2 linked regions of the Xenopus tropicalis genome follow. The protein of the gene in region 1 interacts with the protein of each later gene in a biochemical or structural test. Links are inferred from orthologs where the notes say so. Each region holds a gene or a part of one and is shown in the gene's direction. Other genes may lie near its edges.

Region 1 (7,987 bases):
GCCATTCTCTGCTGGTAAGTGCCATCCAAGTACTATAGACTTGTGTATTGCAACTACTAGAATGCTAAAAGTTTCATTATACGAAGCAAATTAGTCAAACCTATGTTTCCTTCATTAGCAGTAAGAAGGCAGATGCTATTTTGAGAAAGATGCCATCAAGGCAAACTTTGCTTTAACCATAAATCTAATGTAGGTGCCAGAAAGTAATCCAAATGCCCAATCACAGGCTATGTCAGATTATAATGGGGGTGGTGGGATGGTGAGGAGCATTCAACATAATTTCAATATAAAGGGCTTATGCCAATAATGCTTGCCACCTATTTAACCAAATAATTTATAGCTTTATAATTTAAAGGGGGGGGGGGTGTGAGGAGCATTCAACATAAAGGGCTTATGCCAATAATTCATGCCACCTAGTTAATGAAATAATTTATAGTTTTTTTCAGTACAGGTGAAGATAATCATTACATATAAAAAAAAATTGTCTAAGGATCACATTTTCAATACAAGCCCTGTGTATCTGATCCACATGGGTGTTTATTTCCATTAATTTTAAAGAATCCACACTGTAAGGTATAGACTGGGTGCTTGTGGTCTGTTGGGTTAACAAATGGAAAAGACAGGGTTGAAAGGAAGAGCATTACCAAGCAGCTTAATGCTGTGTGACTTTGTATTCAGTGGAACCTTGGATAATACATGTACAGTACCTGAAAGCTGGACAGAGAGACAGTAAATGCACTTGAATAAAAATACTATACTCTTTGAAAGTAATAGAGAATGTATGTTTTGAAAGTTTAGATAAAAAGTAAACATCTTATGCAAAGCCATATAATGCATGAAAATTGTTGGCAGTGACCCTAACTTCAGTTTTGTTATTACTGCCCCCCAGAGAGAATTTTCATTTTCAAATTGTAAAAAAAAAATGTTTTTTTTCTGGCAGCATGTTTAATGTTCCTCTCTGCCATTGTGGTTTCTAGAGTTGGTCAGCAGGTGGAATTATCTCGAGATTCAAATCCTACTCCTTCCCCAAGCCTGGCAACAAAAAGGTGCTCTGTACACACTATCTAAGGCTTTCCAAAATATAGACAGGCGCTAAATTAATGACTCAGCTTATTTACATTAAAGCAGCATTGCGGATTTCTGCATTATTTAGTTCTGCCAAGGCTGTCTTTAGTGGTGGGGGCCCAGGGCAGAGCAGTTTTTGTGGGAGCGTTATAAGACGTAGGACTATATCTGTGTAACTTAAATCCCCGGATCCATTGCTGAAATACTTTTCCCAGAATCACTTGACTGATGTCAGTGGGTCCTTGCTTTTGTATTTCAGAACAAATGAAGTCTAAATAACACTGATAAGTGTTACTGTCACCATGTTGCTTTACTATATCTGCTGTCCTACAGTCTCACTGTTTCTTCCCAGAATGTATTGTTCCTACTATTACATTCAGTGTTGCACTACCTTCTCTTCTATAAATTATACCGTGGTGTATTTCCTACCTAAAACCACTGCTTATGAGGCCCTACTATGTATGAGGCCCAGGGCAATTGCCCCTGCCCCACCTCACTAAAGACAGTAATGCAGTAGTTTTGTAGTTGTTGGTTAAGTTCAGATTTTTACATTCTTAAAATTAAAAATTAAAATAACAATTATCCTCTGAAGGGAAATGCTGTCATCTTCACAGTAAAAACTGCAGTTCTCAAAATGCCAAGAACTGTTGGCAGTCACTTCCCAATATGGAACTGTCTATGGGGGACAATAGATAGAGGGAACAAGTCCATCCGCCAGTATGAATCATGCCCATGCTTATTATAGCTTGTGCCTTAGGCAGTCTAACTGCCATACACTATAGATGTCTGCAGCCAACAGCTGTTCTAGGCATTGTATGCACCAATGCTTTCTCTGAGAAGCTTGTAAACATGATGCCATCGCTGTCCTGAGTTCCATTATGTTTAATATGGTTGTTAAGGGAACCCAAACAAATCTGAAGTCACTGTTTCCCCTAATCATTGGTTTTGGGTGGGGACTTCCAGAGAAAATATGAAATAATTATATTATGCCATTTTAACTGCAGCCTACACATAATTCAGTTGCAGAAATTATATATTTCTCCCTTCACATTCATTTAGCCACTTCTTCATCCGCTTGAAAACTGCTACAAACATCTTGTTTGTTTATTTATGAGCCAGCAGTGCTGCTTTAATATTACTAACTGTGTGGTAAGCTGCTAAAATTACATTAACCATTGATGTCGGTTTCTGCCCTCCACCTGCTATAGACTCAACTACCAGCTGACCTACTGAAGATGCTGGGATTTGTTGTTAATGACATTTGAAGGGCACGCATTTGACATCTCTGCTCTTAACACTCTGCTTTTGGCCCCTAGTGTGGTTTGAAAATAACACAAAACAAGTTGACATCAAAAAATTTGGAAAAAAGGGAAATCATGTATATTATCACAAATGTATCATGTGTCATAAAATATGTGCAGTATATTGATGTGGTGTCAGTGATTGCGGTCAGTGACAGAGATGTTACCACATAATTGACACCACAGAATCATAATATATAAGGAAGATTTTAATTGTTGGGAGGGCTCTTTAGTCTATAAATTCCAGAAATAAGAATGATATGTATAATATTTTTTTTCTGGTATTTGTCTGGCTTAACAAAAGCTCCATGTGTGCTAAAAAAAGAATGAAGTGGGCTTTTCCCAGATTAACTAACAGATAGAATCCAGGTTCTTATTAAAGAGATTTTCATTTGTGGTGAGCTTTGGAACCAGAATGGCCTTCTACTCAACCACCTAATTGGCCTCTATGTTAGTACCATGGCCATTTCTGCATGAGAGAGAATAGAATAGATTGAAGAGAGGAATGATAAAGTAGTAGACAACACCCTAAGGGAAAGAAGAAAATAGGAGAAAAATATCAGATGGGTTTAGAACGGGGAATAAGGGACCAAGGGGTGAAGGGAGAGATAAATTAAGGGCAGAAATCATAGAATGTATTGACAAGACAGTGTGGTACAAAAGTAAGTGAAGAGCAGCAGAAAAACCTATTGGAATGTGGTCTCTTGTCCTAAGGTTTCTAATTTGCTGGTGCCCAGGTTGGCCAGTTGGACACTGGCTCCTTTTTATTTACAGTTTTTTTTTCTTTTGCGAGTGTCAAATTCCCTGCAAGGGAAACAATGGGTAATATTTACTAAGATGCAAAAATACAGCTTGTCTATCTTCAACAAAGTTTTTTTCTGCAACACTGCAAATGTAATGTGCAGAACTATCAGGGGCAAAAATACGTTGTGTAATTATGCCAATGTATTTATAATATAACTAGGCAAGTTTTAGTAAATATGTCCCAATGTGTGGACCAAGTGACTGGTTAGTTATATAGTATTTATAGTAAAATAGTTTATGAACCAAATGTGCACTAAGGCTTATTTGAAAATGAAAACAATGCAAGTGCCCTTAACTAATCGGCAACTATAGCAACCAGTCAGCTTTGGTCTGTTTAGTGCAGTTACAATTATGAATGCAAAAGTCTGATTGTTACTGGTTACTGCAGCAGTGTACATTTGCACCAGTGTTAGAGAATGACCCTTACTATCAATGTGCCATAATGAACTGTAAAGAAAAAAAATAAAATGTATTTTGTCAAATTTGTATGTAAAGAATCGTAATTTGAAGTTGTAAGTACAACAAAAATGAGCATAGGTGTCATGGCAAGTTAAACAAGATCATTTGGAACATGCTATTATATACACACTACTGACATTTTTTTCTATAAAGACAGCTTGATTTTCATCTTGCCATGATAATTTAATTTATACTTAACTTTTTAAAAACACTATGGTCATATTTAACACAGATCTATTTTCTTTACATATTTAGATGACACTGAGTACTGCAGGGGCTCCCAGGCGGCACGGAAGTTCTACATCAATAAATACTTATGTACATAGGCCAAATGCAGGTAAGTTTCATTTAACACATTTACAACAAAATGTCAGATTTGAAGCTGCACCAGGCATATTCTAAAGAATAGTGATGAGCAAAGTGTTTTCGATGTGTGTCATTTTTTTGTCACACAGCAAACTTTTTCTGTTGCAAATTATTGCGCCTGTTTCATGAAAAAATCCGCCAATGGTGAAGCGGGCACAAAAAATTTCTTGACACACGTAGCTTTTTTTGTTGCACAGCAAATTTTTACGTCCGTTTCACCACTGGCGGATTCTTTCATGAAACGGGCGCAAAAATTTGCTGTGCAACAAAAAAAAGCCGCGTGTGTCAAAAAATAAAGACACATCAAAAAAAAACCTTTTGTACATTTTTCAGCAAAATGGCACAGATTCGCTCATCACTAGTAAAGAAACCTAAATATCAGAATGGGCACCTCCCTGTAAGTGACTTTTAGCTGAAAAAAATTTTCATATTGTATCCATTTGTTTTGTATTTGACATGTATAAATACATGTCATATCTATTATGGTAATACAAAATTATACAACATTCACATAAAATATGGATGAATATAGCCCATTTGTGGGGGGCACGTATTACAGTATTGCAAAAGTGTTACATACAGTATACACTCTGTTATCAGATCTTGATAGGTGGCATTGGTTCTTAAAAACATAATTATCTGCTTTAATTGCTGAAACTTCACGCACTCTAGTTTTTTCTTTTGGTTTCCTTTGTTGTGTACATAGAGAAAATTAAATGTAAGGGCATTTGCATTTAGCAGTTTTTTGTTATAAGGCATTGCTGTCCAACTAGTGGTCTGCGGGCCACATCTGGCCCTTGACCCCCCACTTGTGTGCCTGTTTAAGCTTTAAATTGTATCAACACTGAGATTAACTGGCATTGTTCACATCTCAGATTCAGGCTGTAATCAACTGCATTGTTCACATCTGTAAGGTCCTGCATTGTTCAGACCTGTAAGACTGCAAACTGTAGGCACCTGCATTGATCACCTGTTTACACCTCCTGTAGGAGCAGTGCCGACAACTGTTTATCTTGGATTGTTCATGATCAATTACTTATGTAATCATGCTAGGTTTATCTGTCTCCTTCCCTACACTGCCTGTTCTGCTGTACTCTGCCTGCCCTATGCTGCCTGTGTGTGCCATACTCTGTCTGCCCTATGCTGCCTGTATGTGCCATACTCTGCCTGCCCTGCCCTGTGCTGCCTGTGTGTGCCATTCTCTGCCTGCCCTATGCTGTTTGTGTGCGCCATACTCTGCGTGCCCTATGCTGCCTGTGCGTCATACTCTGCCTGCCCTATGCTGCCTGTTTGTGCCATACTCTGCCTGCCCTACTCTGTCTGTTTGTGCCATACTCTGCCTGCCCTACCCTGTCTGTGCGTGCCATACTCTGCTTGCCCTATGCTGCCTGTGTGCCATACTCTGCCTGCCCTATGCTGCCTGTTGGTGGTGAACCTGGCAGGGGTTTTTTCTGGGAGTTTGTTTGCCTTTGTAAATAGTTGTTAGGGGAACCCTAAGGTATGTAATTATGTGCTGGGGGGTTGCTGTGCTACCGACAGGGGAGGAGGAGACATATGAACTTAAGGGTATGTCCTAATATGACATAATAAACTTATTTTACATATGAGTGATGGATGCACTACCACCATTAATGTGAGTATGGTCTTAAAAACTTTAGTGGTAACATGGCTGTGGTTTAAAGTGGGTGTGGTCAAAACTGGCCTCCATTTTTCACCCTCTGCTGTGTAGGCCAGAAAAATTCTGTCCCTCGGTACCACAGATGTTAGACAGCACTGTTACAAGACATACATTCAAAGGGGTGTGGTCTTAAGTACTTTTTAAATGTATCCATGTTAGTTTTAAAACAATTTGTTAACAGTTTAGTTGGTCTGTGCTTAAGTTTTCAATTTTGGATTTACTAGGTGACCTGACTGCCTGATTTCATTTAAATTTTAATTCTTAGGAAGTCAAGAATTTCTGGTCTTGCTATCTCTTTGCCTGTATTAGTCTCAGGGAACTTCTCACAACTGATAACCTCATAGGGTGAAGTGAATTGACAAGATATATTCAGTGTCGGACTGGCCCACCAGGATACCAGGAAAACTCCCAGTGGGCCCAGGTGTCAGTGGGCCCTCTTGCTCCTGACCATTTGGCTTGTTTCATGGTCATTCCCTATTTCTGAACAGGAAGAAAGAGGGGAAATAGATGGAAGAATAGATGCTAGTATGTAAATAAAAGGGACTGGGAGAATAAAGAGGTTGGGTGAGGAAAGGAGGAAAAACTGTTTGGAAAGTGGTCCTAGGGTCTAAGGTTTTCTGGTGGGCCCCTGGGTTCCCAGTCCGACACTGGATATATTCACTTTATATAATTTAGCTTCCTTTAATTGAATTGCTTTGATCACCTCAGAAGTCACAATGGATTCTATGCCTATGGACACTGATGTCTATCGAGGAATATATGAAGACCCAGATGAGTTCAGACCCATGGATGGCAAAATATCTCGGGAACAGCTTACTTTGTTTGAAACTGAGCTAGGCTCTGGCAACTTTGGAAATGTTAAGAAAGGAGAGTTAAAGACATCAAAGTAAGGCATCCATTTGTTTTGTGTGTTTGTGTGTGGGAAAAGATCATCTATTTTTTGACTAACTATATTATTGCATTAATGATGCAGACAGCAGATAATGAATGCTCTCTCATTGCAAAGTACCAAAAAATACACTCTGTAGAGCTCTGATTTGTTGCTTACTAATAGTCTGCATTCCCAGAATTCCAAATCTAGTTTCTCTGCAGTATCTCAGAAGTAAGTGACAGCAATACTCAGTAGATGTTACTGACATAAACAAAACTAAAAACCTTGCAATGTTGAATATTATAGTGCAATATGTTTGGGCATTTTGCCAGTGTTAGTGGTTCATGTAACATTTACTTTTGCTAATGATTTGTATCACAAACACACAAATGCTTATCCTTTGTACAGATCTAAAAAACCAGTAGCTGTCAAAATTCTCAAAAATGACAGCAATGATGAGTCAATGAAGGATGAGCTGCTCAAAGAAGCCAAAGTCATGCAGCTGCTTAATAACCCTTACATTGTGAGGATGCTTGGAATCTGTGAAGGGGAATCGTGGATGCTTGTCATGGAGCTGGCAGGACTCGGGCCTCTAAATAAGTTCTTGGTTAAAAACAAGTAAGCAAGCGAGCAGGGTTTGGTTTCCTGGGGCCATTCCATATTAGTATATCATCCACTGGGACTTATCTTTGCTGGTGTTTGAGCTGAACAAAAGAACTGAACAAAAGAAAAATGGACAAATGTACCCATACTGTAAAATATTAGGATATTAGAAGCAACTGTGGAGTGCCTTTTTTTTCCTAAAAACTATAGTAGTGGTTTGACAATGACAGCTCTGAAGGACAGCCTTATTAATCTGGATCTCTGAAATGCTGGAATGCTGGTTTAGCACAAAAACATGTACTTTAGATTTTAGCAGAGTTTAGGGAATACACAAGGTGACTAGCGGTAGTAGGTGTGATTATCGTACTATTCTGAATAGCGATGAGCGAATCTGTCCCATTTTGCTTCACTGAAAAAGCCACAAAATTGCAGAAAAGTCTCCAAAAATATTTGCAAAATGTGGCTAACGCATCCCTTTTTTTTTAGATAACTGCAACTTTTTGGCACAACCGTGACTTTTACGATATGGCTGCTTATTTTCCCTCACTTGGCAAATAAAATTGCAGATGGTGAAAGGTGGAGTTTCCATGCCTGGTGAAAGATTTCGCTCATCACTAATTTTGAATGGATTCTTTTAGATGTACAATATTGTATGTTAGAGTGCACAGCAGGATACAGGAACTGTAAAATGCAAGTGGATTCAATTTCTAAATTAAGGGTATAACACTATAATAACAGGAGGCTGCTGAAATCCCCTCAGCCTGCTCCACAATAGAGTATGTATTACACTTACACCCTTTACATTGACATACACCCCACTAATATGGTGAATTGTTCGAC
Region 2 (7,987 bases), on another chromosome or scaffold:
TGGAATTTGGTACGATAATGACAATCTCCAATATTGTTTTGTAATTTAAATAAATAATACACAAAACTAACTAAATATTTTTAATCCTAGGGAAAGTATTAGGTTCTGGGGCGTTTGGAAGGGTGGTGACCGCAACCGCATATGGTATTACCAAGCCAGGGGTCTCACTTCAAGTTGCTGTAAAAATGCTCAAAGGTATGCTGACATATCCACAGTAGTTCAATGCATTATGGGCTGACTGAAGGCTACTCTACTGGCTTAAGGAAGTTTTCAAATGAGTATATAGTATATTCACAAGTGTGCTTTTTACATCTGAAACATCCCCAGCTTTTATATTTTTAAGCTTCTCTACCCAGTAGATAGATAGAAATGGCTTAACTAGAGGCTACTGGGGCCCACTGCAAATTCATGTTAGGGCCCCAAAACATTGCTAAGTTGACCAACTCTACCAAGATATATTGAAATTGCTCATTAAATGAGAAATATACCCCCCCCCCAACAATGTAAGTCTCTATTAAAATACATTACATAGAACAGCCCATATGTAAAACCCTGCTTCATCTAAATAAACTATTTGTGCCATGGATTTAATAGCATTACCATTTCACAAAAGTGATACATTTTTTTGGTGTTTCAATACTTATTTGGAGGTCTGTTCCCTATAACCTTGAAACATCCAATTAGATCCCAAAGGCTGCTTTTTGCTCCCTGTTACTGGGACAAAGCTATTACACCAGTTACCCTCTTTGTCGGGTTGTACCAACATGGCTTTTAAATTGCAGCAGGAGCTTTATCACACAGTCCTAAATCCATCCAAAGACAAACTGCAAAAGGGCTCAGGTGCATCAATAAAAATCCCAACAAATTTTATTCACCTCTTCCACGTCTAACAGGGACCTGGTGCCAATTTCAATATTTCCAATACTGAACTTTATTACTTTTTAAGAATATGTTTTGGTTGTTTATAGTGTCAGTACAGCTCATGTGCTAGTATATGGTGAAGACATACCCAATGCCAGATACTGCTGTGAAACCTTTTGAAGAACATTTTAACATCATAAGAATAAGCATGAAAAGGGACAGGAACGTGTAGTCAAGTCACCTTAACCACCTCTAGTTCCAACATCAGTGACATTAGTGGACACAAAGTGGTTTATTATGAACCTGGAAGTCCTTTTCTTGACTGGTTTGACCCTTATAAATAGTCATCACAACACTTGTGTTACCCTGTTCCCATGTGACAAGTCTGAAAATAAGAATTATATATCCCTGAAAGACTAGAAAATCAGTGTTGTAGGATCCTTTATAACTATGGACCTGTTATGGTTCCATGGCTAAATACACAGGCAAAATAAGGTTTAAAAATATATTTGGCATTTTTTATTTTCACAGAGAATGCTGATGGTTCGGAAAAAGATGCGCTTATGTCAGAACTAAAGATGATGACTCAAATTGGGCACCATCAAAACATAGTCAATATGCTGGGAGCGTGCACAGCGGCAGGTAATTATGTTACTCTTCTATCCTGTTTGAGAATTGGGTATGTTTGTATTAAACACCCTTAAATGTTATTTCTGACCCACGTAAGGGCAAATTCTTCAGTACAGTAAGAGTGATCAGCACTTAGTCTGGTCTGTAAAATAAATAGTTCAACAAAAAAGTAAAACATTACACAGCTTGTTCCAGACTTCACCATGCTTAAAGGGATTCTGTCATGATTTTATGGTGTAGATTTTATTACTAAATTACAAAATGCACCAGGGGTGGGCCAAGCCGTGTACATTGCAAATAATTCACTCTACCATTTAAGATTTTATTCCTGAACTAATAAATCTATTTTTTACCTGTAATATTGGTGTGTAGGCGCCATCTCAGTGCATTGTGCCTGAGTCTGAGCTTTCAGAAGGAGCCAGCGCTACACATTAGAACTGCTTTCAGCTAACCTATTGTTTCTCCCAGCGCCGGATTTCAAAAGCAGCCGCCCCTAGGCCGTCCCCCATTCGCGCCCCCTGCGCATGCGCGAACAAGCCCCCCATGCCGCGCCGCGTCGATGCAAGCGCGCATGAGCAGGCATTTAACTCCCATACGGAGCAGTGGGGAGAAATCCCCACTGCTCCGTATCGGAGCAAAATTTCAAAATTTCGTTGCGGCGGGGCGGCATGCCGCCCCTAAATTTGTGCCACCCGGGCCTTTGCGGCCTCTCCGCAAATCCGGACCTGGTTTCTCCTACTCAATGTAACTGGAGTCAGGGCTGGAAAGTGTTTTACTATTGAGTGTTATTCTTATATCTCCCACTAGGTGGGGCAAGGGAGCATTTTTAGCAATGCAGGTGTCAGTGAGCTGTTATCTTGTAATCTGCTCGTTGATATCACTCCAACTTGTAGCATTAAAGAGAGACTGAAGCACAAGTCGCATGGCTGAGGGCACTTGGGAAACTAAGAATATGTCTAAATGGATTGCAATGCAGGATTCTGCTGGAGGAGCACTATTAACTGATGCATTTAGTAAAAAACATTTTTCACATGACAGAATCCCTTTAAGTTTTATGCTGGCCTCTGCAAAGGAATACCTTGGCTGTCCAATAGCTGGTGTACGCAGTTCCTCTGACAATTCTCTGCAGTTTTACTATGCTTTATACCAAGCTGGGGTTGTTCTGAGAACAACTGCTATACCCCATTTGTATACAGCTGCCTTGAGCCTTTGTAGCCTGATTGCTTATAATGCTGCCATGTCATAGTGATTTATACTCTCTTTAACCAACAACAGGACCTGTTTACCTAATTTTTGAATACTGTCGTCATGGAGATCTTCTAAATTATTTGAGAAATGAACGAGAAACATTTCACAAAACATGGACAGATGTTGTCAAGGACCATAACTTTAGTTTCTACCATAATTTTACTCAGCACCAAAAACCCAGGTAAGATTCAATCCAAGAACAAAAAACGTTTCTCCTAATTCAGTTCCAGTTTTTTCCCTTAGACGTCAATAGAGTTTTCCCATTTTAAATAGTGAATCTGCCCCATTTCGCTTCTCTGAAAAATTTGCAGATCTTTAAAAAGATTTGCGATACGGAGAAAAATTCTATAAACGTTGGAAATGATGCTTATTAAAAAAAAACTGAGTTTAATAAGATTTAGAATTCACATATTCAAATATTTGAACCAAATGAAAATGTTGACAAATAGGCCACCCCATGTTACATAAATAGCTGATATTTACACAGTAGATTGTATACTGAATAATGTACTCCTTTTCTCTGCCCGATACAATTACACCTATTTTGACTTTAATAGATGAATGATTTCTGTGATTCTCGCTTCACTTGTCTTTAGTGTGAGACGTGAAAGCCTCCTGGACAATGGCTCTTACATGGCCGAGAACAGAACACTGGTATCTGGGAACAGTCAACAAAGATGGGATTTCTCATTAAACTGTGAACAAAATGACAATCAGGAAGAATGTAAGAAATGCAAAAAAACTTTATTGTTTTATATAATAAAAAGAAAAGCTATTACACACTTGGACTGATAGTATACTGTATATGCAGTGTATACAATATAAATGTCATAATATAAGGAAGCTCCCAAACCAGTGCAATTAGAATCAGAATGTATTAATCATCTCTGCAGCATCAGCTACTATGAGAGGAAACCTAATTTTTTGCTTGGAAAACTGAGACAACCCCTAAGCTTAGCTTCTCAACAGCTGCCCAGAGCGCACTGAGCATGTGCAGTGCCACTGGCACTCAAATTCCAAGATGGGGAGCTCAAGGTTAAAGGCCTGGATCATTTCTGCTATAGAGATGCCGAACTGTTAGGCTGGTGCCATGGGTTTAGTTTATAAAATGTGGCATTTGGTATCCAGCTGAATCTATTGTGGAGGATTTGGTGTCTCCAGCTAAAATATATAGATATATGTCATGTCTGTGCCCTGAGCAGGTATAAATGTAGCTACCACTACTCCATCTATAAAGTTATAATCAGGACCAGAACTAGGGGGGGGGGGTGTGATTAAGGCACAATGGAAGGATGTGAAATAAAGCATAAATCATTGCTCCCACTGCTCTGAATTTATCCTGGCTTTAATCAAGTTCCTGGGAGACTGGAAGCAGAGCAGGTCCCTGGTAAGTGGGTGGAGGAGGTAGGGGGTGATGTTTTGGCAAGCCAGCCAATGGGCAGGTGGGCCAGTGAATGGAGGGTGACGAGCAGGGGGTAGTACAAGAGGTTTTGCCTTGGGCAGCTGTATCTCTTGACCCAGTACTGGTTATAATGATTGAATATTTAATACTGCAAAAACAGTGATATTGTCCCCTTGAATGGAAGTGTTTAGCAGCATTACTAGCCATGCCAACTCCTCTCCTGTGCCTGAGATATATCTTTGAAAACAAATGGGCAGACTAGTAAATTTTATTTGATCCAGTTTCTTTTAATCTGAAATAAAAATATTATTGCTTGTGTTTTATCACATAACACAATTATTTTTTCCCTCTTAAGTAATCAAATATGAAAACACAAGATGTTATGATGAAGAAGACCTGCATGTTCTGACATTTGAAGACCTGCTGTGCTTTTCATATCAAGTTGCCAAGGGGATGGAGTTCCTTGAGTCAAAACTTGTAAGTTTACTTGGTTTTAAAATATATTTCTTTCTTTGAGGATAAAATAATTATTGGTACAGTATAATTCATTATTTTATTTTGACTGATCTTTGCCATAGGTACCAGATTGGGTGAAACTATATGAGAGATTGGAATTTCAGATATGCCAACTAACTCCTGATATCTGATTATAAATAAATGACCCATATATGCTGAGATACACGGCCCAGAGAATTTAATGCTTCATGTGAACCTTCTCTGATCCTTACAAACCTCTGTAGGCCCCTGGGACTAATATTGCTGCTATGAAAACTGATAGTCCAATGAGTGGGGATGAATACAAAATTCTGATAACCAATCATTTCCTTGCACAGTGTATCCACAGGGATCTCGCAGCAAGAAATATCCTGATAACCAATGGGAAAGTGGCCAAAATATGCGACTTTGGACTTGCTAGAGATATTGAGAATGACTTAAACTATGTGGTCAAAGGCAATGTAAGTGACATTTTGTTATTATAATCTACTGTTCTTGAGGAAGGGAAAAGGGTTTGGGCAGGAGTGGTCAACCTGTGGCCCTAATGTTGTCCAAGCTGGAATGGAAATTTCAAGACCCCTATTTTACATTTTTAATGGGATCATAAAAAGTGGTGTAAAATCCAAGAAAATGTAAAATCTGGGAAATACATTATACATTATACTGTATATTGATGGGACTTCAAAAAAAAGTGTAAAATGAGAGAAAACTTAAAATCAGGGTATGTAAAATTGAGATGTAACTGTAGCTGGAACAAATGAAGACAAAATAGACAAATAATTCTTGGATGTATGGCTGCTGAGAATGACCATACGCCAAGGTGCAGATGAATAGGAAGTGCTAAACCAAAAGGCAAATGACCTATAGTCACAATTGATACCCAGATATAATTCCTACCTATCTATCCCTTTGATCTTCACCCCCATGCCTTAATGCCTCTCTGTGCAACTCAACTGCCAATAATCCTCCTTCCTTTTCTAGGCCACTCAAAGTCTCTCCCCACCGTACAATGTGAATAGGCTCTGGGAACAACATGCCTTTTTACTGCTATTAGTGTTATCTATAACTTAATTATATAATTGGCCTGTATCTCTAACTGTTTGGTTTGCTTCTATTTTTTTTGTAGGCTCGTCTGCCAGTCAAATGGATGGCACCAGAAAGCATATTTGAAGGCATATATACCATAAAAAGTGATGTGTGGTCATATGGCATATTACTGTGGGAGATCTTTTCTCTTGGTGAGAATTCTATAAATGATATAGACAAGTGTGTGCGTTATTTTAAAGAGTAGCTGCTTCACTTTCCTGGAAGATCCTTCTTTTTTCTTGAAACTTTATAGTTTTTGTATTTTTGACGCTGGTTTTTGTGCAACAGCTCGAAAAATTTGAGTTCTTTTGCGACTTTTCCTCACACAGACTTTTCCTATCTGATTTCTTTTAGTAAATTTTATACATTGAAGGAAATGAGTTCAGTCGAGTTCGAAAATGTAAAAAAATTAGAAATAGAATATTGGTAAATGTGCCTCCTTATATTGCTTCTTTTCACAACAGGAATTAATCCCTATCCTGGCATTCAGGTTAATGCCCAGTTCTACAAGCTCCTGCAAAGCGGATTTAAAATGGAACAGCCATTCTACTCCACTAATGAGATGTGAGTATGTATGCTTGCTGAAGGCTAGAACTACTGCGGCTATTGGCGTAACTTGGGATATGTAGAGCCACGCTACTGTCTTTAGGGGCCAAAAACATTATATAGCACAATGGCTTTTCCTTCTTCTCTCCTAAAGAACTATAGATAGGTAGCTGTAGATAGCACCATTCTATTTGCATAGTAACCTAGAGCAGAAATAATATAGGAGAGACCTCATTTTATACTATATTAATAAGAATTAGAAAATATAAAAATAGTAACTCTGAATGATTTATATATTAAGCAAAAGCTTAAGCGGCAGGGGTTGCAAAAGTATTAGTAGAAGTGCGAGATAATATTTTATTTTGGGTTTAGAGTTAACATAGAGCATGGTGCCACCTGCTGGATGTCTGAAGTCCAGCCCAAATCTTACCCAAACTCATTTTAGTTGTCATTGCACCTATTGTACCATAGTTTTCAGGCCTTGGCCATAGGCCTCTGGGCCCCAGAGTTTCAGAACCACTGATTTAATTAATCCTAAGATCACTGAGCCCCTACAGTTTGCACAAGTAGCAAATTAGCACATCATGCAAACTTTAATAGGCCTGGGAGTATATATCTATATATATATATATATATATATATATATATATATATATATATATATATAGATATATACTGGATATAGAGTGGAGCACACCTGCCACCAAAATAGCAGCCCTGGGTGCAGGTAAAAAAATAGACATATAGAGAAAGAGTACCGCACACTCAGGGACTTGGTGCAAAAGAAAAAAAAAAGGTTTTTTCTCTCTCTCTCTCTCTCTCTCTCTCTCTCTCTCTCTCTCTCTCTCTCTCTCTCTCTCTCTCTCTCTATATATATATATATATATATATATATATATACATATAAACATAGTACCATATATAAGAAGAAAGAGGACCATCATGCCTTATTCCATGAATAGTGATTGTCTTTTTATTTCACCATCATGCTGCAAATTCCAATGTGGATCTCGCAACTAATCGACTAAGACTGGAGAGTGGTCTGGGTGCAGACTTTTTCATTAAATATTTTTTTGTTTTCTAACAAAGTCCCTGTGTGTGCGACTCATTGTCTTGCTATACACATGGTTCTTGCAAGGCATTTGATTATTATTAGGGTGTGCTCTGTTCTTTTCTGTATATATATATATATATATTTTTTTTTTTTTTTTTTTCATTTTATAAAAGTCCTTTTGTTGTATGAGAAAGGTCCTAATAACAACCAAAATGTCAGATTTTTTGTGCAATTTGCTTAATAAAGGTATGAAGTTTTAATAAGGGTGTGCTAGTCTAATAATATTTATATATATACAGTGGTGTGAAAAACTATTTGCCCCCTTCCTGATTTCTTATTCTTTTGCATGTTTGTCACACTTAAATGTTTCTGCTCATCAAAAACCGTTAACTATTAGTCAAAGATAACATAATTGAACACAAAATGCAGTTTTTTAATGAAGGTTTACATTATTAAGGGAGAAAAAAAACTCCAAATCTACATGGCCCTGTGTGAAAAAGTGATTGCCCCCCTTGTTAAAAAATAACTTAACTGTGGTTTATCAATTTAAATTTTCAATTTCAATATCAATTTCTGTAGTCACCCCCAGGCCTGATTACTGCCACACCTGTTTCAATCAAGAAATCACTTAAATAGGAGCTACCTGACACAGAGAAGTAGCCCAA

What was found. The genes of interacting proteins can lie anywhere in the genome.
Region 2: of the proteins of syk (region 1) and flt3, one has a biochemical effect on the other in vitro, tested with the Homo sapiens proteins (2 studies listed by IntAct, with this or other methods). The link is inferred for Xenopus tropicalis from reciprocal best matches to the Homo sapiens genes SYK and FLT3.

What each region holds. Positions count from the first base shown.
Region 1 is NC_030677.2:138,465,564-138,473,550, forward strand, and holds part of syk (tyrosine-protein kinase SYK), read left to right. Parts: intron 1-977; coding exon 978-1,046; intron 1,047-3,884; coding exon 3,885-3,966; intron 3,967-6,381; coding exon 6,382-6,559; intron 6,560-6,952; coding exon 6,953-7,162; intron 7,163-7,987. UniProt on the Homo sapiens protein: Non-receptor tyrosine kinase which mediates signal transduction downstream of a variety of transmembrane receptors including classical immunoreceptors like the B-cell receptor (BCR).
Region 2 is NC_030678.2:155,026,626-155,034,612, forward strand, and holds part of flt3 (receptor-type tyrosine-protein kinase FLT3), read left to right. Parts: coding exon 1-9; intron 10-90; coding exon 91-195; intron 196-1,392; coding exon 1,393-1,503; intron 1,504-2,766; coding exon 2,767-2,920; intron 2,921-3,335; coding exon 3,336-3,463; intron 3,464-4,496; coding exon 4,497-4,618; intron 4,619-4,974; coding exon 4,975-5,097; intron 5,098-5,762; coding exon 5,763-5,874; intron 5,875-6,186; coding exon 6,187-6,286; intron 6,287-7,987. UniProt on the Homo sapiens protein: Tyrosine-protein kinase that acts as a cell-surface receptor for the cytokine FLT3LG and regulates differentiation, proliferation and survival of hematopoietic progenitor cells and of dendritic cells.